3 linked regions of the Elephas maximus indicus genome follow. The protein of the gene in region 2 purifies or fractionates together with the protein of the main gene of each other region. This does not show direct contact. Links are inferred from orthologs where the notes say so. Each region holds a gene or a part of one and is shown on either strand. Other genes may lie near its edges. The genes, in order: GABARAPL1, RETREG1 and MAP1LC3A.

The links.
Region 1: the proteins of RETREG1 (region 2) and GABARAPL1 purify together in Homo sapiens (affinity purification with western blotting; 3 studies listed by BioGRID and IntAct, with this or other methods). This does not show direct contact. The link is inferred for Elephas maximus indicus from reciprocal best matches to the Homo sapiens genes RETREG1 and GABARAPL1.
Region 3: the proteins of RETREG1 (region 2) and MAP1LC3A purify together in Homo sapiens (affinity purification with western blotting; 3 studies listed by BioGRID and IntAct, with this or other methods). This does not show direct contact. The link is inferred for Elephas maximus indicus from reciprocal best matches to the Homo sapiens genes RETREG1 and MAP1LC3A.

What each region holds. Positions count from the first base shown.
Region 1 is NC_064822.1:67,457,229-67,464,594, reverse strand, and holds the start of GABARAPL1 (gamma-aminobutyric acid receptor-associated protein-like 1), read right to left. Parts: upstream 3,046-7,366; 5' UTR 2,758-3,045; coding exon 2,668-2,757; intron 1-2,667. UniProt on the Homo sapiens protein: Ubiquitin-like modifier that increases cell-surface expression of kappa-type opioid receptor through facilitating anterograde intracellular trafficking of the receptor. Involved in formation of autophagosomal vacuoles.
Region 2 is NC_064820.1:20,173,226-20,180,155, forward strand, and holds the start of RETREG1 (reticulophagy regulator 1), read right to left. Parts: upstream 3,034-6,930; 5' UTR 2,944-3,033; coding exon 2,669-2,943; intron 1-2,668. UniProt on the Homo sapiens protein: Endoplasmic reticulum (ER)-anchored autophagy regulator which mediates ER delivery into lysosomes through sequestration into autophagosomes.
Region 3 is NC_064843.1:34,897,139-34,903,466, reverse strand, and holds MAP1LC3A (microtubule-associated proteins 1A/1B light chain 3A), read left to right. Parts: upstream 1-4,090; 5' UTR 4,091-4,253; coding exon 4,254-4,293; intron 4,294-4,591; coding exon 4,592-4,647; intron 4,648-4,734; coding exon 4,735-4,841; intron 4,842-5,142; coding exon 5,143-5,305; 3' UTR 5,306-5,312; intron 5,313-5,589; 3' UTR 5,590-5,756; downstream 5,757-6,328. UniProt on the Homo sapiens protein: Ubiquitin-like modifier involved in formation of autophagosomal vacuoles (autophagosomes). While LC3s are involved in elongation of the phagophore membrane, the GABARAP/GATE-16 subfamily is essential for a later stage in autophagosome maturation.

The sequences.
Region 1 (7,366 bases), on a different chromosome or scaffold from region 2:
AGCAGTTTTCTGCTCTGTTGTAGGTTCTCAATACATTGTAACTATTAACATAATTTTAAGATCCCATTAATCCCTTCCTTCCCAAGGCACAAGCACACTTATTCTTTTAAATGGAAGGAACTCTGGTGGCACAGTGGTTAAGCTCTCGGTGCTAACTGAAAGGTTAGTGGTTCAAATCCCCTAGCTGCTCCATGGGAGAAAGACGTGGCAGTCTGCTTCCGTAAAAATTACAGCCTTGGAAGCCCTATGGGGCAGTTGTACTCTGTCCTACAGGGTCGCTATCAGTCAGAATCGAATTGATGGCAGTGGATTTGGTTCTTTTGGTATTAAGGGATATTGACTGGAGCTAAAATCAGGTTTTCTAAGCAATCAGGGTACAAGATTGCTTTAATAACACCAATGGTCCAACTGGAGAGAGCAGAGAAATCATTGACTCTACCCCTCTTTTCCATAAAGGAAGACACTTTATCACAGCGAGCTTAGGGATTCTGCCCAAGGGCACAGGGAAATCCTTGTGAAGCCATAAGTAGAAACAAAATTACAGAACTAAGACCACATAGCTCTTCTCCCTGCATAACCATTAAAGAGGGTCACAGGCAGAGAAGCTAGTAAGCAGTTCAGAGGCTTGTTACTGGTTAAAACATAACTGTAGGAGCCATGAGATCTGAGTAATGGCTAATAAATTAACATAGAAATAAAACATTCAACACCAAACTACGGCAGGAAAAGAACAGAGGGAATTAGCTGAAACATTCTGGATGGATGCATGTAAATAACTGAAATAGGGAGGACTCGGTTTGAGGGAAACATATGGAAATTTTAACTAGATTTAGGAACAGGTAAATTTCAGTTTGTCATTTATGTGAAGCTACTGTTGTACACAGGGGTCACTATGAGTGGGAATCGACTCGACGGCACCTAACAACAACTGGCACAGTTCCTTGTACTTTGCAAGTCCTGAATAAATTGTAGTCATTTTGCTTACTGAGTTACTTTTCCGGTGAACTGTTGAGGGCAGCAATAGTTTATCTATTTCCAATACCTAACAGTGAGAGGCACTTAATTAGTTCTGGTAACAGAGCTACATTAGAAATTGAGCAGCAATGTGGCATGGAGGTTAGGCATGCCCATAGCGCTATGCATGAGAGGTGAAGCTGAAATCTCAGCTTGGTCACAGACCACCAATATGACGTTACTTCATGTCTCTGTGCTTCAGATTCTTCATCTATAGACTGGGGATTATAATAGCGTGAGGGTTAATGGGATGCCTATATAGAGGACACTTATAATAGCACCAGATACAGGGTAAGTTACTGGTAAATATTAGCTCTCATTTTTAAATACTATTACTGAAAACTGGGATTGGTGCCACGAGAATTGGGGGACGATTTTAAAACAATCATCCAAGGTCCAGAGACCACGAAAATAAACTGTGAAGAATTCTTTACTGGGTAATAAGGCTGGCTCCCCTTTCCAGCTAAAAAACCCTTTTGTGTGTAATTGCTGGGGAATAGGATGGCTCTGATGTCTCCTCTTTATAGGAAAGGACCACGAGGGCTTTGTACTGCTGGGCTAAGCCCCAAGTTGCCTCTGGTAGCTGTTTAGAGGAGGCCCAGGAACACCTGCAGGTCAAGAAAGGACATCAGATAATTGCAATGTCTTTACCCGTTACATTTACAATTCCTTTACCAGTTACATCATCCAAATGCCCATATCTGAAGATAAAGAGCACAACCCTACGGTCACTGCTCTTCTATCTCTAACACCCCAAAACTGCTGCTCCCTCTACCACAGGCTTCTGTCTTTCATTCTGGCTGCGCAGCCTACATTAGAGGGAAACCAGGCAAGTGCGCGGGGGAGGGGACAAACTGGAAAAACGCCCGGATGCTGAAAGATGCCTTGCTATTTATTTCATCTTTTCCTTCTGCACTAGTTTTAACTACATAAATCAGGGGCTAAAACAGAAAGAGGTCTCAGTCTGTCTCGTGCCCAGGTATGATTTGATCAGATTAAGCACCCAGGAAAGCTGGCCGTCACTACACACTGCCCCTGGAGCCAAGAATGATGAAGCAAGCCGGTTGCTGCGCAGAGAACGTGACCTTGTTTTTGAGCCAGACCTGTCTTGTGGTGCCCCCCACCCCCTACCCCAATCTTAACAGAATACGAGAATGAATCCACTGGCTTCCCATCTTTTCCCTCCCAAGCCCAAGGATAACCAGGTCAGAGTGAAATTGATGAAAGGAGAACCACCTATAGCAGAAATCGACAGGCGCAAACCCCAGGGCATCAGTCGCTCCCATAGTAATTTCCGTGCGTTCTTAAACGAAGCAAACCTAGAGCCCCAAACTAATGACTCTCGCACAAAAAGGCCACATCTTCTGAAAACTGCTGAGTCACTCGAGACATTGGCTTCGCTCTAAAGATGCGGTCAGCTATGAAGATGGGAACAGGCCCTCGGGATACGGGTTTGGAAAGCTCCGCAGTCTGAAAAGTCCACTAGCTCCGGCAGCTAGCGAAGGACATCCGGGGTCAAGGAATTTTTAGAGACCTCCCTTTTTCGGAGACCCTTCTGTTCCTTAGGGCAGCCATCGCGACTCCCCAACCCCCAGCTCTCCAACCCTCCCCCCACTTTCTCCCCTACCCTCCACCCGTTCCCATTACACTTACAGGGACCCTGTCCGGATATTTCTTCCGGATCTTTTCTCCTTCCTTTTTCCGATATTCAAAGGGATGGTCCTCTTTATACTGGAACTTCATGATGGACCGCAGGGTTTCTAAAATCCCCAGACGGGGCCTGCCTTCCTCGCTGATGATTGCGTCTCTCGCGTATTGCTCCTCTCCGTCAAATTTCAATAGGTTTCAGGATCGCTTCAGAAGTGCCAGCTCCCGCCACAACACTATTGGCAGAGCGTTCGGAAGGGATCTCTGGTCGCCTCGCCTGGCAGTAGAAGATGGCCAGGTAAAGAGATCCAGACGGCTTTTCCCAGGAGCTGGGGACACAAAAACAACACAGCAGCGCGTTGGTATTGTGACGCCACAAACCCCGCCCCGTGTCCCGCCCCCAGCGTTCGGAACAGCGCAGGATGGGGGTAGACAAGTACGTTGTCTGTTTCATTGTATCTTCTTTCTAGCTAAACCTTTCCTAAGTAGATCCCACTGCAACCATGACGTATTTACGTGTTATTTGAATGTTCATGTGACATTAACTATCGTTCTAAAACGAAATAAAATTGTTCTGAAAATGTCTTCTTCCCTCCCTGCTGTTTCTTGGTTGAGTCCAAAAATAAATACAAAGAACTAAAATCCAGCTTTTTCCAGCTTATTGGGATCCGGGATCTGGAGAAAAAAAGGAATGGGGGACCTAGGGTCTGTTTTTGGCCAGTGCAGAAATGTCCTGTGCTTGCATTTTGCCCTTTGCCTATTTAATTGCACCCACTGGGCACCTCCCACCAGGCACTCTCCTTCCCCACGCTCGCGTCAGTTTTGTTTGGATCCATGCCACAGTTTGCTCCTAGCACAGCAACATAAACAGAGCATGACTCAGGAATTTGAAGAGACCTGTAATATGAAGGGCACGGAGGGTAATCAGGGTCCAGAGAAGAGGTGATGTCAGTGATGACTGCTAAGGGCTTCAGGCGCGTTCACAGATAGGGATCACTGGCTTTCTCCTACTGACCCAGAAGTTGGGCCTGTCTTCTGGAAAACAATTCACCTGAATATGGAAGTGTTCTTGTGTGCCATCCAGTGGATTCCAACTCATAGCGACCCTGTGGGAAAAGTGGAACTGCCGCATAGGGTTTCCTAGCCTGTAATCTTTAAAGAATCAAAGTAAACAGAAATCCTTGACAACTTCAATATTTTCCCTGTTTATCCTGAATAATATTTATTGATCCAGTTGTGAGGATTTTTGTTTTCTTTATGTTGAGTTGTAATCCATACTGAAGGCTGTAGACTTTGACCTTCATCAATAAGTGCTTCAAGTCCTCTTCGCTTTCAGCAAGCAAGGTTGTGTCATCTGTATATCAAAGATTGTTAATGAGCCTTCCTCCAATCCTGATGCTGCATTCTTCTTTATATAGTCCAACATCTTAGATTATTTGCTCAGCATACAGATTGTGAAAGGATACAACCCAGACACACACCTTTCCTGATTTTAAACCACGCATTATTCTCTTGTTCCAACTGCTTCGTGGTCTATGTACAGGTTCTGCATGAGCACAATTTAGTGTTCCAGAATTCCTATTCTTCACAATGCTATTCATAATCTGCTATGATCTACACAGTTGAATGCCTTTGCTTAGTCAATAAAACACAGGTAAACATCCTTCTGGTGTTGTGTGCTTTCAGCCGAGATCCATCTAATGTCCCTCATTCCACGTTCTCATCTGAATCCAGCTTGAATTTCTGGCAGTTCCCTGGTGCAACATCTTTGAATAATCTTTTGCAAAATTTTACTTGCATATGATATTAATGATATTGTTCTATAAGTTCTGCATTCTGTTGAATCACCGTTCTTTGGAACTGCAAAATATAGATCTCTTCTAGTCAGTTGGCATAGACAAGTGAGCACTTCAGTGTTGCATTCACTTGTTGAAACATCTCAATTGGTATTCCATCATTTCCTGGAGTCTTCCTTGTTTTAAGGCAAAGCCTTCAGTGCAGCTTGGACTTCTTCCTTCAGTACCCTCAGTTCTTGGTCATACGATACTTCCTGGAAAGGTTGAACATCAATCGATTCTTTTTGGTGCAGTGACTCTGTATATTTCTTTCATCTCCTTTTGATGCTTCCTTCGATGTTCAACAGAGCCCTGGCGGTGCACTGGTTATGCATTAGGCTGCTAACCAAAAGGTCAGTAGTTTGAAGCCACCAGCCATTCCTTGGAAGCCCTATCGGGCAGTTCTGCTCTGCCTGATAGGGTCGCTGTGAATTGGAATTGACTCGACGCAATGGGTTTGATGTTCAACGCTTTGCCCATAGAATCCTTCAATATTGCAACATGAGGCTTGGGTTTTTTCTTCACTCCTTTCAGCTTGAGAAATGCTGAGTGTGTTTGCATTGGGAAAACCTGCTGCAAAAGACCTCTTTCAAGTGTTAAAAAGCAAAAATGTCACTTTGAGGACTAAGGTGTACCTGACCCCAAGCCATGGTATTTTCAGTTGCCTCGTATGTATATGGAAGCTGTACAATGAATAAGGAAGACCAAAGAATTGATGCATTTGAATTATGGTGCTGGTGAAGAATTCTGAATATACCATGGACTGCCAGAAGAATGAAAAATCTGTCTTGGAAGAAGTACAGCCAGAGTGCTCCTTAGAAGCAAGGATGGCGAGACTCTGTTCCACATATTTTGGACGTATTATCAGGATTACCAGACCCTGGAGAAGGACATCATGCTCGGTGAAGTAGAGGGTCAGTGAAAAAGAGGAAGACCCTTAACGAGATGGACTGACACAGTGGCTGCAACAATGGGCTCCAACATAGCAATGATTGTAAGGAGGATGCAGGACCAGGTAGTGTTTCGTTCTGTTACGCAGAAGTTCGCTATGAGTCAGAACCGACTGGATGGCACCTAACAACACGAAAACAATCTTTAAGGGAGCAGATTGCCAAGTCTTTTCAGCTGTGGAAATTGCAGGCCTTTTGGTTAGCAGCCAAGTATTTAGCCATTGGCAACCAGGGCTCCTTGAAGATGAAGTACTATAAAATTCCTTACATGAATAGAAAGCACCAGTAGGAAGCACAGTGGAAGACTCTGGGTGGTGGGGCTGGTGCCTCCTTCTGGTGTTCCTCTTTCGCCACTGAGAATCAAAGGACCATTAGGGGAAGGGCAGTGGAAATTGTAAACATTATAGACTAGTAACGAAGGTCTGTTTTGCCCTTAATGAGTTCAGAAAAATATTAGATGACAGCAGCCCCCATCTCCTGTCTCCTTTTATGAGGGTTTCAATGCCTCTGATTTTAAAAACAAGCCCACAAAATAAATGAAACTAAGGTTCATTATTCAAACAAGGAAAATGATTGCATAGTTCCATTTCTAAAGTTTAATTATTTTTCTCCATAGCGTCTTTCAATCCATTTTATATATGAAAATTCGTAAGTGGTTTATCACATTATATGCTTATAATTTTCAGTCCTTATTTTCAAATTGAAAATAGTTTAATTAGTCCCTAGTCTCTTGTTTGGAAACCCTGGTGGCATAGTAGTTATGTGCTACAGCTGCCAACCAAAAGGTCAGCAGTTCGAATCCACCAATTGCTCCTTGGAAACTCTATAGGGCAGTTCTACTCTGTTCTATAGGGTCACTATGAGTTTGGTTTTTGGTTTAGTCACTTGTTTTAGCTATGATCCAAACACAGCTAAATCTTTCAAAAGAGTACTTTACAACCAGTTGAGAAAGGAAATTATGGTAGTGATTGAAATTTTAAGATTGTTGTTTTCTGATCAAATCTACTGAAAACAATCTTATCTAATTAGGCTGCTGTTTTTAAACTTTAAAAATACCTAAGGACAGTGGCAATTTACATGTGAAAAAGAACCTGGAGATGAAATTTCCATTAATCTTCCTGCAACAAAGCTTTTCTAAATGTTCGTAGGTTGTCTTAATTTCCAAAGTTTGTTCTCTACCTTTATTGTCAGCATGGCATTTTTAAACATGTATAACAAACATTTCAAATAATAGTATGATAAACAACCATATACTCACTCACCACCTTGATTTTTCTTTTCCTGGACCACTTGAAAGTAAATCACAAATATTGTGATATTTCACTCCAAAATACTCAGCATATTTTTCCTAAGATAAAAACATGCTCCCACATAATCACAATCTTCACTATTGCAACTCAAGGCTTGAATTTTTTCCTCAGTTCTTTCTGCTTGAGAAACGCCGCGTTGCAATAGTGAAAAGCCTCGAGTTGCAATAGTGAAGGATTCCATGGGGAAAATATTAAATGACTCAGGAAGCATCAAAAGAAGATGGAAGGAATACACAGAGTCATTACACCAAAATGAATTAGTCGATGTTCAACCATTTCAAGAGGTGGCATATGATCCGGAACCGATGGTACTGAAGGAAGAAGTCCAAGCTGCTCTGAAGGCATTGGCGAAAAACAAGGCTCCAGGAATTGATGGAATATCAATTGAGATGTTTCAACAAACAGATGCAGCACCGGAGGTGCTCACTTCTCTGTGCCAAGAAATATGGAAGACAGCTTCCTGGCCAACTGACTGGAAGAGATCCATATTTATGCCTATTCCCAAGAAAGGTGATCCAACCGAATTTGGAAATTATAGAACAATATCATTAATATCACACACAAGCAAAATTTTGCTGAAGATCATTCAAAAATGGCTGCAGCTGTATAA
Region 2 (6,930 bases):
AAACTTTCAGAATTCTATGCTTCTGAAAAAGAACGAGGAAGTGATCGGCAAGATATACTGAGAAGAGTAATGTCCATATACCCATTGCCATCCAATTGATTCCAACTCACAGGGGCCTTGGAGGACAGGGGAGAACTGCCTAATAAGGTTTCCAAGGCTGGAAGCTTTACGGAAGCAGACTGCCACATCTTTATGCTGTGGAGTGGCTGGGGGGTTCAAATCGATGACCCTTCAGTTAGCAGCCAAGCGCTTAACCACTGCACCACAAGGGTTCCTTATCACCCACACAGTATTCCACAATTTGCCTAGAATACTAAAAACTGGTAACACTGATTGTCACTGGGCAAAAACTAGGTGGCCAGGGACAGGCTTGAGAAAGCGAGTTTTAGAGTATTTACCCTGCGCACCTTTCCAGGTGGTGATGCAGCTAAGGGCTTGGCTGTTAACCAAAAGGTGGGCAGTTCAAATCCACCAGCTGCTCCTTGGAAACTCTATGGGACAGTTTTACGCTGTCCTTTACGGTCACTATGAGTTGGAATTCACTCGAGGGCAATGGGTTTTACCTTTTTGTACCTTTAAACTTTTGAACCCTGAGAATGTATTAGCTATTCTTAAAAATAAAATTTTAAATAATAACCAAAAAAAGCTTTAGAAACATGTCCCCCATTGGTAAGATACATGAGATAATAAGATCTGAGCCTCTTCACAACCCTAACAGTATTTGGCCTGTTGCCCAATCGAGAATACTACAATATATTCTCCATTTGAGTGTTTGTGTAACTTCATAACAGGCTGGAGTTTGGGTTTTTTTTTTTTTTATTGTGCTTTAAGTTTACAAATCAAGTTAGTCTCTCATACAAAAATTTATATACACCTTGCTATATACTCCTAGTTGCTCTCCCCCCTAATGAGACAGCACACCCCTTCCCTCCACTCTCTCTTTTCGTGTCTATTCAGCCAGCTTCTGATCGCCTCTGCCCTCTCATCTCCCTCCAGATAGGAGATGCCAACAGAGTCTCATGCGTCTACTTGATCCAAGAAGCTTACTCTTCACCACTATCATTTTCTATCCCATTGTCCAGTCTAATCCCTGTCTGAAGAGTTTGCTTTGGGAATGGTTCCTGCCCTGGGCTAATAGAAGATCTGGGGACCATGACCTCTGGGGTCCTTCTAGTCTCAGTTGGACCATTAAGTCTGGTCTTTTTATGAGAATTTGGTGTCTCCATCCCACTGCTCTCCTGCTCCCTCAGGGGTTCTCTTTTGTGTTCCCTGTCAGGGCAGTCATTGGTTGTAGCCAGGCACCATCTAGCTCTTCTGGTCTCAGGCTGATGTAGTCTCTGGTTTCTGTGGCCCTTTCTGTCTCTTGGGCTCATAATTACCTTTTGTCTTTGGTGTTCTTCATTCCCCTTTGCTCCAGGTGGGTTGAGGCCAGTTGATGTATCTTAGATGGCCGCTTGCTAGCATTTAAGACCCCAGACATCTCTCTCGAAAGTGGGATGCAGAATGTTTTCTTAATAGATTTTATTATCAGGCTGGAGATTTTTGAAATAAACTCTACCTTAGCTGTTACAGAGAGCTAAGAGATACAGCTAAGATGCCCAAGGTAAAGTTAATTCACACTCAGGGACCCGGATAAGACAGACATAGGTCATGTGAGGAGAAAAACAGGACTAGGGCAGAAGCTGCAGAAAAATCTTCACATTTCTCACGTTAACCTAGAAAATTGAGGGTGGAGTAAACTGTGTATATTCCCAAACTTTAAGGTGAAGAAATCTAGGTCCTGTAACAAGATACGTGTTTCTGAAACTCGGCTTATCCTGCACACTGGGGGTCATGTTTGTTCTGTAGGCACATTAGACAGAGGCTTCCCCCGGACCCCACCCTCATTCAGGTCGGGAGCCTTGACAGGATAAGTCCTTCAGTAAAGGGGCCAGACACTTCCCTACCTCCTTAACAGCGAAAAGCACTTTTTAGAGAGACAGACCTGTTGATTGTGGGCTTTTAAGAAAGCATTCCTGTGTGTTCTCTCTGTCCATCACCTAAAAATATGTCTGTTTTCCACACTGTGCACACCTGGAGGGAGGGATGCTGTACATAATCCACCTGTCTACCGACTGTTTTCTGGTCAGGGAGTAAAGACGGTAAACCCAACACTCCAGGGAAAGGAAAAACAAGCCATTCAAGGCCCATCTCAGGGGGCTCAGGAAGGCGGCGCAGCCTTGAACGTGTATCTAGGATGGTCCAGATTCGCCTGCTCGGGGTGCAGAATGAATACAAGCTCAAGCACGTTGGCTCAGGCATGCTTGGGCGAGCAGGTCAAGACCTGCGAGTTATAGAAAGGAAAAGCCGAAGTTTTCCAGCACGCCGGGCACACCTGTAGGGACAGGTGCGTGCAGGTTAGCTGACCACCTCCAGTCTCAGGCTGGATACACCCACGAGGTTGACTACTGTTTACAGGCGAGTGTGTCTGGAGGCAAGGTGAAGTGTCTACCTGTCCGAGGCAGGTGGCCCGGAAAGTGGGGCCGGGCTACGCTCTTTCTTCTGCAGTGCCCAGCGTGCGCCCCGCCAGCCCCCGCCCCGGCCTCTGGGCGCGCCCTCCGCCCGCCCGCCCCGGGGCGCCCCAAGGTCACCTGCCCTCCCCAGCGCCCCCACCCACCCGGGCTCTCACCAAAACAGCAGGTTGGCGCCGACGAAGGCGAGCAGGCTGCGCAGCGGCCTCTCCCAGCTCAGCAGCTCGTCGGCGCGGCAGCCCAGCCACAGCACCGGTTCCCCGAGCAGCCAGGTCTCGGCGGCGGCCGCCCGGCCCGCGGCCTCCTCCACCTGCCGCTCGGCGCCGGCCGCCGCGAGCTGCTCGTGGGCTCCCTCCTCCTCCTGCGCCTCCTCGCGGGGAGCTCGGGCCGGGCATCCCTCCTCCGCGGGCTCCGAGGGCGCCGGGCTCGCCATCTTCCGCGGCGCGGCGAGGACGCGGACGCGCGGCGCGCCTGGGTGTCGGCGGGTCCGGGCGCGGGGCGCGCAGCGCGGGGCGCCGGTGGTTGGGTGCCTTGTGACGTCAGCCCGGGCCGCGGCGGGGGCGCCGCCCGGGGAAGTGGGTGCGGCCAAGTTTACGCGGGGGCGGGGCCGGGCGGCATCCCCGCGCGGTGGGTGCGCAGCTGCGCTCTCTCCGGGGCGCTCGGACCTGGCACTGGCTTCGCCAGGGACCACAGAAAATGAACGCTACCCCCTTTTTGTTTCCGACTGGGGGAGTGGGTCTGAAGTAGAGGTGACGCCGCTGCAGGTTACTTATCTAAAATGAAGTCAAGGCTACAAGCAAAATAAATTGGACACCTCCACTGTCTCAAGCCAGGGCTACCGCCCGCCGGTCCTGGAGCCTGTGACAGCGGATTTCAGCCCCATCGAGTCCCCTCACCTTCCCCCAGCCCAGTGCCCTCACAGGGCACAGCCTGCACAAACCATAGGCATTGAGGTCTTTGGCATCCTGGAAGTACCATGAGGATATAAATGTTGGACTGAGAAAGCAGGGAAAAAAAAAATTGGAGTCAATTACGGAGAGCCTGATCCTCTCGTTTACAAGTGAGGAAATGCAAGGCCGCGGCGCTGGAGGAAGGCCCTTTCCCTCTGTGACTCTGGGTTTCTTGTGGGTAAAGTGACTTGGCTCAAAGGCACAGGTGAGTGGGGTTGCACTCAGTAAGGGACATCCCTGCCACCAATAAAAAGGGTGAGGGTGTGCTGTTGCTCTTCTCACATCCATTCTTTGTTCTGCGTTTTGGTTTCACAGTTTTCTTTACAAAGGTACTTTGATATTTAAATGTCATTTTACCTTTATAAAAGTATATAGTGTTCTTGCCCAGTGCCCCCCAAAGACACACCCTTTCCCAATTTTAAGGAGAGTACACTCCATAATAAAGAAGCTGACTCGATTTTTGCTGTCAGAGTACTCACCATCATCATCATCATCTACAGGCATTTATAGACAGGCCATTCTGTCACTGCAAAAGTAGTAGCAATTATTGAAAGCTTCCTTGGAAGTGCTGGCACTGGGAAAATTCAGGGCACTTTCACAGTTTCTATGTAGCAGAGCGAAGAACAGAGTCGAAGTTATATAAACCAGATTTGGCAAGCCCAGATTGCAGTTCTTTCAAAGTCACTGAGGTCTCCTGTCACAAGCAGGCACCAGGGTGGAGGAGAGGAGGCAGTGAGCAGATGACAGGGTCTCCTGGGACCTCACAATGCTGAGCCTCTTTGGCCCTGGGGCTTCTGGCTGAACAGTTGTGGGAGATGGGGAGTGATTGTATATGCTCGCTTTTCACTATTTGTGTTTTATAAATGTTTCTATTGTTTAATCTCCCAGTTCTTGCTTCTAGGATAAAACATTATCCCTCTCCCCCACCTGTACACACCCATCCCTAGAGCTCTGCATGCAATAAAGCAGGGCTTTCATATCTGAGTCGACCACTAGAACCAGCCAGCTTTCACAGGCTGCCTGGGGCTCCTTCCCAGAGCGCTCAAAGCCCTCTGCCTCAAGGGATTGTCTGGAGAAACATTCCTTCTGCTGATCTGAGTGGTCCTTGCTTATGTTTATACATGCATGTTGTTGTTCTTGTTAGGTGCTGTGGAGTTGGTTCCCAACCCTATGCACAATGCAAGGAAACACTGACCAGTCCTGCACCACTCTCAGAATTGTTGCTATGCTCGAGCCGATTGTTGCAGCCACTGTGTCAATCCATCTCATTGAGGGTCTTCCTCTTTATCTGCTGACCCTCTGCTTTGCTAAGCAGGATATCCTTCTCCAGGGACTGATCCCTCCTGATGATATGCCAAAGTATGTGAGATGTAGTCTTGCCATCCTTGCTTCTAAGGAGCATTCTGGTTGTACTTCTTCCAAGACAGATTTGTTTGTTCTTTTGGCAGTCCGTGGTATATTCAATATTCTTTGCCAACACCACGATTCAAAGGCATCAATTCTGTCAATTCTTCGGGCTTCCTTATTCATTGTCCAGCTTTCACATGCACATAAGGCGATTGAAACGCCATGGCCTGGGTCAGGCACATCTTATTCCTCAAGGTGACATCTTTGCTTTTTAATACTTTAAAGAGATCTCTCGCAGCCCATTTGCTCAATGCAATGTGCCTTTTGATTTCTTGACTGCTGCTTCCGTGGGAGTTAATTGTGAATCCAAGCAAAATGAAATCCTTGACAACCTCAGTCTTTTCTCTGTTCATCATAATATTGCTTATTGGTCCAGTTGAAAGGGTTTTTGTTTTCTTTATGTTGAGGTGTAATCCATACTGAAGGCTGTGGTCTTTGATCTTCATCAGTAAGCGCTTCAAGTCCTCTTCACTTTCAGCAAGGAAGATTGTGTCATCTGTGTGTTGCAGGTTGTTAATGAGTCTTCCTCCAATCCTGATGCCCCATTCTTCTTCATTTAGTCCAGCTTCTCGGATTATATGCTCAGCATACAGAATGAATAGGTATGGTGAAAGGATACAACCCTGATGCACACCTTTCCTGACTTTAAACCACACCGTACCCCCTTGTTCTGTTCATTACACGTGCATACACATATGTAAAAATCTATCCATTTGTGCTTTGCAGATGTGTGTACTTTTCTGTATGTATATTATATCTGAAAGAGGTATATTCCCAAAGGCCATGCACAGGTTTAGTGAGTACCTACTACATGCCCAGTGCTCCTCCACGAACTGTGGATACTGCTTCCACCCACAGGAAGTTCAGTCCAACAAGGAGCCAATTACAAGCGTGGTCAATGCGGTGACAGAAATAAAGACTAAGTGCTAAGAGACTCTTTGCTTAAGTTGAGCATCCAAAATTAAGGAGGGTGTGGAGGAGTCAGATTTCAGGAGGCTCTTTGGAATAGTTGATATCTGACCTAAATTGTAGGAGCCCCTGGGTGGTGCAAATGGTAACGCGCTTGGCTTCTAACCAAATGGTTGGAAGTTGGAGTCCACTCAGAGGTACCTTGGAAGAAAGGCTTGGCGATCCACTTCTGAAAAGCCATCCATTGAAAACTGTGTGGAGCACAGCTCTACTCTGACACATGTCGGGTCACCATGAGTCGGAACTGACTCCACGGCAGCTGGTTGGGTGCTACATTGTAAGAAAGGAGAATGAAGAGGGGGTGGGACAGGCACTGGTTTCTGATGGGAGATTAACACGAGGAAGGTATGGAGTTGCAGGTGGAGGTGCTGATTCAAGAAGCAGGGTTGGTTGTGTATATTCGCAGTGGAATGAAGTGAAAGATCCACCAGTGTCAGAAGTGGTTTTTAACCTGAAGGCCATGTGGAGCCCTTGGTGTCTTTTCAGAGGACCTCTGCCACCCAGTGGAATGTGGCCTGAGAGGCGGTGAAATAGCACTGTGGAAACAATGCAGGATTTTCCCCACAAAAGACAAACTTGTCTTTTCAGAGGTGTTGAGCTTCTCCCTTGGCCCTGGAGAATCAGCTTTTGAAAGATAAATGATGCTTTATTGTGTAATGTGGACTTCGTTTAGCATTTGATACAGCCCAGGGCTTGCCTCATTCTTAGACCTTTGGCTGCTCCTCTGGGAACCAGGCTTCCCCATTGCCCTCACCAGTGTTGAAGTGCTCCCAGAAAACATGATTCTTCACATTCCTCCTTCTCCCCCTGAATTCTAATTATTGGTGTCAGGATCTGTGAAAACAGCAAAAGCTGTTGAGGACCAAGATATGTGAAAGCTAAGCTCCAGTTGCTCGGTGTGGTTTGCAACACTTACTATCTTTGCTTAATGATAAACCTCCCTACTGGCAGCCCTCCTGTTTTTAAATACTACTCACAGGCAGAACTGTTTTGCATAAAGGGCTGGACTAATTGCGCTCATCTGTCTTTTGCACCTCTGGCCTCTAATAATGACTGACAAACAGGAACAGACACTGGCATAGACCCATTAACTG
Region 3 (6,328 bases), on a different chromosome or scaffold from region 2:
TGTCAGTAACAGTTTTGCCCCTTTCTGTCCAGTCCTTAACAATTTTATTCTTCTTGTCTTGCTTTGGGTGGGCCCTCCATGCAATATTGAACAGAAACCCTTGGTTCCTGACTTTAAGCGGAATGCTCACTATTTCACCATGTAGTATGGTGTTTTACATTAAGTATAATGTTTGCCGCAGGTTTGGGATTTTTTATCTTGGTAGAACTCACGTGGAAAACCATCTAGACCAGTTGATTTTTTGGGAGATAGATTTTTAACTTTTTTTTTCCATTTTCCCAATGTTCTTAATAGGTATAAGGCTATGAAGTTTGTCTACTTCTTTTTGAGTTAGTTTTAGCAAATTATATGTTATTAGGAAATTGTCTATTTCATCCAAGTTTTAAATTTACTGGCATAAAGTTGTTTACAATATTCCAGTCATTTTTGTGATTCCTGTTCTATCTGTAGTTATGTCTCTTTTGCACACTAATGCTCATTTTATCGGTCTTTTCAAAAGCCCAACTTTGATTTGTTGATCCATTAATTTCTGCTCTTATTATCTTCCTTCCACTTTCTTTGGGTTTACACTGTTACTCCTTTTTAAATTTGATGCTCTGCTTAAATTTAATTTTATATTAAATTACCCATATACATAATAAGGCTAGACATCTCCTTCTAAGACTGCTGCCTTAGTTGCATGTCCTTCCAAGAGATTTTGATATCTGTCCTCATTTTTTATCAAATCTAAATGTTTTCTATTTCTACACGATTTCACCTTTGAGTACAGAGTTATTTGGAAGTATGTTTAAATTTCCACTTCCCCACTCTGTGGTCAGAGGATACGGTCTGCATGAAATTGATTATCTGGTATCTGCTGAGATTTTTCTGGCGGCCTAGTGGTTAGGTAATTCTTTGTAAATGTTTCACACGTGACTTAAAATAACTTGTTGGGTTCAGGGTTCAACTGAAGTTCAATGATCAGGATTATTGTGTTAAAAATCTTCTATATCCTTTCTTTTCTGGCTGCTTGGTCTATCAGTTACTGAGAGAGAAGTATTAAAATTTCCTAGTATGGAACATTTTGATCAAAGATTCTATAGAAGAATCCTGATCAAAATGGAGAAAATATAGAACAGAATTTCAAATTCTCATTGAATCCAAACTTTCCAAAGCTGTGGAGGCTGGATGAACCCCTGAAACTATTGCTCTGAGATAATCTTTAAATTTGAAACCAAAAATATCCCCTGAAGTCTTCTTAAAACCAAACAATAGTGTAGCTTAACTAGTAAAAAATGTCTGCCTTGAGCATTATGCTCTTTCAAGATCTATCTTTATGGGATCAAACTGACAACAGCAACTCAAAAGATTAGACAGGAACTTAGGGGAAGTGAGTTTATGTTAATCAGGGAAGAACAATTCGGAAAAGCAGGGTGAGAATGGTTGCACAACTTGAAGAATGTAAACAGTATCACTGAATTGTACCTGAAGAAGCTGTTGAATTGGTGTAAGTTTTGCTGTCTACATTCTCTACAACAAAATAATAAATTAAAAAAAATTTTTTAAAGATTTTAAAGCAATAAAAAAAATTCCTAGTATGATAGAGTATTTGGCAATTTCTCCTTATACTTCTGACATTTTATATATTTTGAGCCTATTGTACCTGGAACATACAAGTTCAGAATTGTTATATCTTCCTAGAGAATAGTGCCTTTCATCATTTTCTAGTGACCTGTTTTATCCCCAACAATGCCTTTTGCCTTAAAGTCTATTTTGTCTGATTTTGCTATACATACATACTTTGGTTAGTTTTTCTATAGTACATCTTTTCCCACCTTTTTTTATTTTTGATGCCTTTAGGTTTTAAGTGTCCCCTTAGGCTGGGTACTCTAGAGAAGCAAAACCAGGAAAGCATATAAATACACGCAGGGAGAGATTTATATCAAGGAAACAGCTCACGCAATTGTAGAGGCTGGAATGTCCCAAGTCTGTGGATCAGGATAGAGGCTTCTCTTGATTCACGGAACTGCAGGGGCTAATGAACCCAAGATCAGCAGGTCAGAGAGCAGGGCTCCTGCTCTCAGGCTGTGAAGATCGACAAATCCCAAGATCTGCAGACAGGCTAACAGCCCAAGTCCCAAGAGCCGGAGGTCAGACAAACAGGAGGAAGCCACAGGATCCAGAGTGAGCAAAAAGCCATAATGTCTTATATTCGGATGCAGGCCACACCCCCGAGGAAACTCCCTTTCAACTGATGGGCTACTCACAGCAGATTCCATCATGGGAGTGATCACATATAAACACTGAGAATCGTGGCCCAGCCAAGATGACACGCAATGTTAACCATCACGCCTTTACAGCACAGAGCTGGATTTTATCTTCCTTAGCCAATCTGATAACGTTTTTTAACAGGTGAACTTAAAACACATTTCCTACCTCTGGTTTTGTGCTGTTTACCATCCTTTTTACTTTACTTCCTTTTTCTCCTTTCTACCTTCTATTGTATTTTTAGCACCCTTTTTTACTACCCTTTTCTCTTTTCAGCACTGACAGTTATGCATTCCATTTCTATTCTTCTAATGGTCACTCTTAAAAGTTTAAAATACATATTTGACTTTCCGAAGCCAGACAACTGTCAATATCTTTATCCTCCTCTCAAACAAATCGGATTTCTTAAGAACACTTTAACTCTGATTACCCTCTCCTGCCTTACATGTTATTGTGTCCCATGCACCTTCTTTTTAATCCCCACAAATTAATCATTACTATTACTGTTCTAAAAGCAGTGGCTGAGCAATCAGCTGCTAACTGAAAGGTCAGCAGTTTGAACCCACCAGCTGCTCTGGGGGAGAGAGATGTGGTGGTCTGTTCCTGTACAGACTACAGGCTTGGGAACCCTATGAGGCAGTTCTACTCTGTCCTACAGGGTAGCTATGAGGCGGGATGGACTTGAGGGCAACGGGTTTGCTTTTTATTCCTGTTTTTGCTTTTTTATTACTGTTCTATATTAAGTGCCTGTTTAGACTTACCTAGCAGTTTACTACCTTATGTGCTCACCATTTTTTCATCTAATTTCTTCCCTCTGGGTTACTTGTTATTATTAAAGTATATCCTTCAAAAATTATTTAAGCAATCATCTGTGTAAACTATGCCTTTGTCTTAACATATCTTTCCTTCTCTCAGACTCTTAAATCATGGATTAACTTACTAGTTGACCATATTTTTCCCTCAGAAGTTGAAGATGTTATTACATTTTATTCTGGCTTTTATATTTGCTGCTGAGAAGTCAACCATCAGTCTTATTTTCCTGCCACAATCTTTCTATTCTCTCCTTCTGGAACTCTGATGATTAGACCTGTGAGTCCTTCTCACTTTATTATTCATGTCACTCACTCATTCATACTTTCCATCACCTTCTTTCTCTGGGTAAATGCTTCCGATCTATCCTCCACTTCAGTGATTTTCTCTGCTATTGTGTCCAATTTGTGTTCTTATCCCATCCACTGAGACTTGAATTTCAATGCCTCTATTTTTCAATTCTAGAAATTATTTTTAAAACCTGTCTGCTCCTTTTCCGTGTCTTCCTCTTTCCATACGTTGAAATTCTTCCCCTCTCCCACCTCCCCCCTTTTTTTCCTGTAACCAAAAGCTCCATGAAGGCGACTTTGGTTCACTGCTCTTATCTCCAGCATCTAGTACAGTCCTTGGAACTCCGCGCGCCCTGGGTGCGCGTTTGTCAAATGACTTAGCGAGAGTGGGACCAGGTGGATGCTGAGTTGCTGCCGGGCCCACGCTCTCCTACCGGCATGAGCCACACGGCCCAGGTTGGGTCCGCCCCCCGCTCCCTTTCACCCCATTCCCCGCAACGGTCTCGCCGGTTTTCAGCTTTCACCTCAGTCCGGAACTTGGCAAGAGGTGCCCGCGCAGACCATGACGTCAGGGGACTGTGACGCTCCCTGGGAACCCCCGCCCCTTCGCGTCGCCGGGCCGGGAATCCAGGCTCTCTGCGCCGTGACGTCACGGACTCGGGCGGGCGGGTTTTGCGTCGGCCCAATGGGAGCGGCGCGCCGGCCTCCCCTTTAAGGAATGTTGTGACCTGACGTCACCGGGGCGAGTTACCTCCCGGAGCCGCCGCGGCTGGGCTCAGCGCGAGCCCGGAGCCCTTGAACGCGAGGCGAGGAGCCCCCGGAGCCCCCGGAGCCCCCGAACCGCAGCCACATCCCTGCGCCGCGCACCCCGGAGCCCAGACCTGCGCGTCCCGCTGGGCCCGCGCGATGCCCTCGGACCGGCCTTTCAAGCAGCGGCGGAGCTTCGGTGAGGCCTGGCGGGCGGTCTGCGAGCGCGGGATGGGGGGCGTCGGACCCATTCCGACTGCCGCTGGTGACGTCAGCCCCATGACGTCAGACTCCGGCTGGCCCCGGGGCTGGGAGGCGGGCTCCGGCCGGGCCGGGGGCATCAACGCTCGGTCCTGTGCCGGGGACTGCGGGGCCGGACGGCCCGGGGGCGGGGGCTGGGGCGGGCGGGGCGGGGCTGCGGCCGCCCCTCGGGAGCAGGACGGGACCCGGAGAGCACCTCCGCCCGGCCTCACCGCCCCACCGACCGTCGTCCGCAGCCGACCGCTGTAAGGAGGTGCAGCAGATCCGCGACCAGCACCCCAGCAAGATCCCGGTGAGGCCCGCCGTCCCCTCCCCGTCCCCGCCCTGCCCCAGGCCCCGCCTTGGGCTCACGCACCCCCCCCCCCCGCCCCTCTCCCAGGTGATCATCGAGCGCTACAAGGGTGAGAAGCAGCTGCCGGTCCTGGATAAGACCAAGTTCCTGGTCCCGGACCATGTCAACATGAGCGAGCTGGTCAAGATCATCCGGTAAGCGGGCAGCCCGCCGCTGGAGAGGGACTTGGGTCCAGCTGGCGTCAGGCAGGCGACCGATGCCCTCCGGGAAGAGGCTATGGTGGGGCCAGGGCCTGGGACCGGTGCTGGGCATCTGTTCTGGGGCGGCCAGACAGTCAAAAGGGTCCGGGCTGGGGTCAGTGTGGAGACAGAGATGAGACCCTTTTGAAGGATCTGAGGTGGTTATGAAGCGAAGGTTGGGAGCCATCCTGGGGAGAGGGTTGGGGGCTAAGGGACCGGGCAGCTCACAGTCCGCATGCCCTCCCGCCCGCCTCAGGCGCCGCCTGCAGCTGAACCCCACGCAGGCCTTCTTCCTGCTGGTGAACCAGCACAGCATGGTGAGCGTGTCCACACCCATCGCAGACATCTACGAGCAGGAGAAAGACGACGACGGCTTCCTCTACATGGTCTACGCCTCCCAGGAAACCTTCGGCTTCTGAGCCAGCAGTAGGGGGGGTTGGCCTGGGAGTGGGGGGGGGGGGTGGGGAGCCAGTCAGGCTCTGCCCAGGGAGCCCCTGTCTCCTGAACCGAATTGCCTCTGCCCCTGGTGGGCTGGGCAGGGATGTGGCCCCGTAGCCAGGGGACATCAACCATGCCACCTGTGCCCCTGGGCAGATCCTGGGCCAGTCACTTTAGGGTTGCCCCTCTGGGTGTTGGCTGGGATGGGGGAGGGTGGGGAGCCGCCCCCTGCACCCCTGCTCTGTGTGGTTTGTCTTTTTTTTAGGCCCATGCCTCTCTGCCCATCTGCCCCTCACCCACCCGAGGCACTGCCCCGTTCGTGGACCTGCTCACCCCTAAGGACTGGTCCCTGGCTTCCCTGGTCTTGACATGGTGTATGGATCTGTGGTCATTGTTCCTCTGCAGAATTAAAGATTGCTCAGGCCTGCCTGGCCCTTTGCCTCCTGCTGCTTGCTTGTGGGGTGGGGAGGGTTGCTGATGAGACTGTGGGGAACCATTCTCAGCCTGCAGGGAACAGACTTTTGTTCTGTGGACTCAGGGCTCATTCTGGAAACCCATGCCAGTGTGTAGTAGTGTTGTTGGGTGCTTTTGAGTCAATTCTGACTTGTTGTGACCCCATGTGACAGAGTAAAACTGCCCCATAGGGTTTTCTTGGCTGTAATCTTTAGGGTCGCTATGAGTTGGAATCGACTCCATGGCACTGGGTTTGGTTTTGGTTTGGAATCTTTACAGAAACATACTACCAGGTCTTTCTTCTGCAGAACTGGGTGGGTTCAAACCGCCAACCCTTGGTATTGTGGCAGTATGAGGGGCCAAGCTACCCTCTCCAGGCATACACTGTGGTCCCAGGGTAGACATCTTCATAACAAAAACATTTATTAAGTAGCCACAACCCAACAAGTCCTGCCCACCTGCATCTTCCTCCTTTCTGCCTACGAGGGAGCTCCTTGGTGTGCAAGCCACAAAGTGGGGGTCCAAGGTGAGGTGCTCCTGGATCCTCCCCA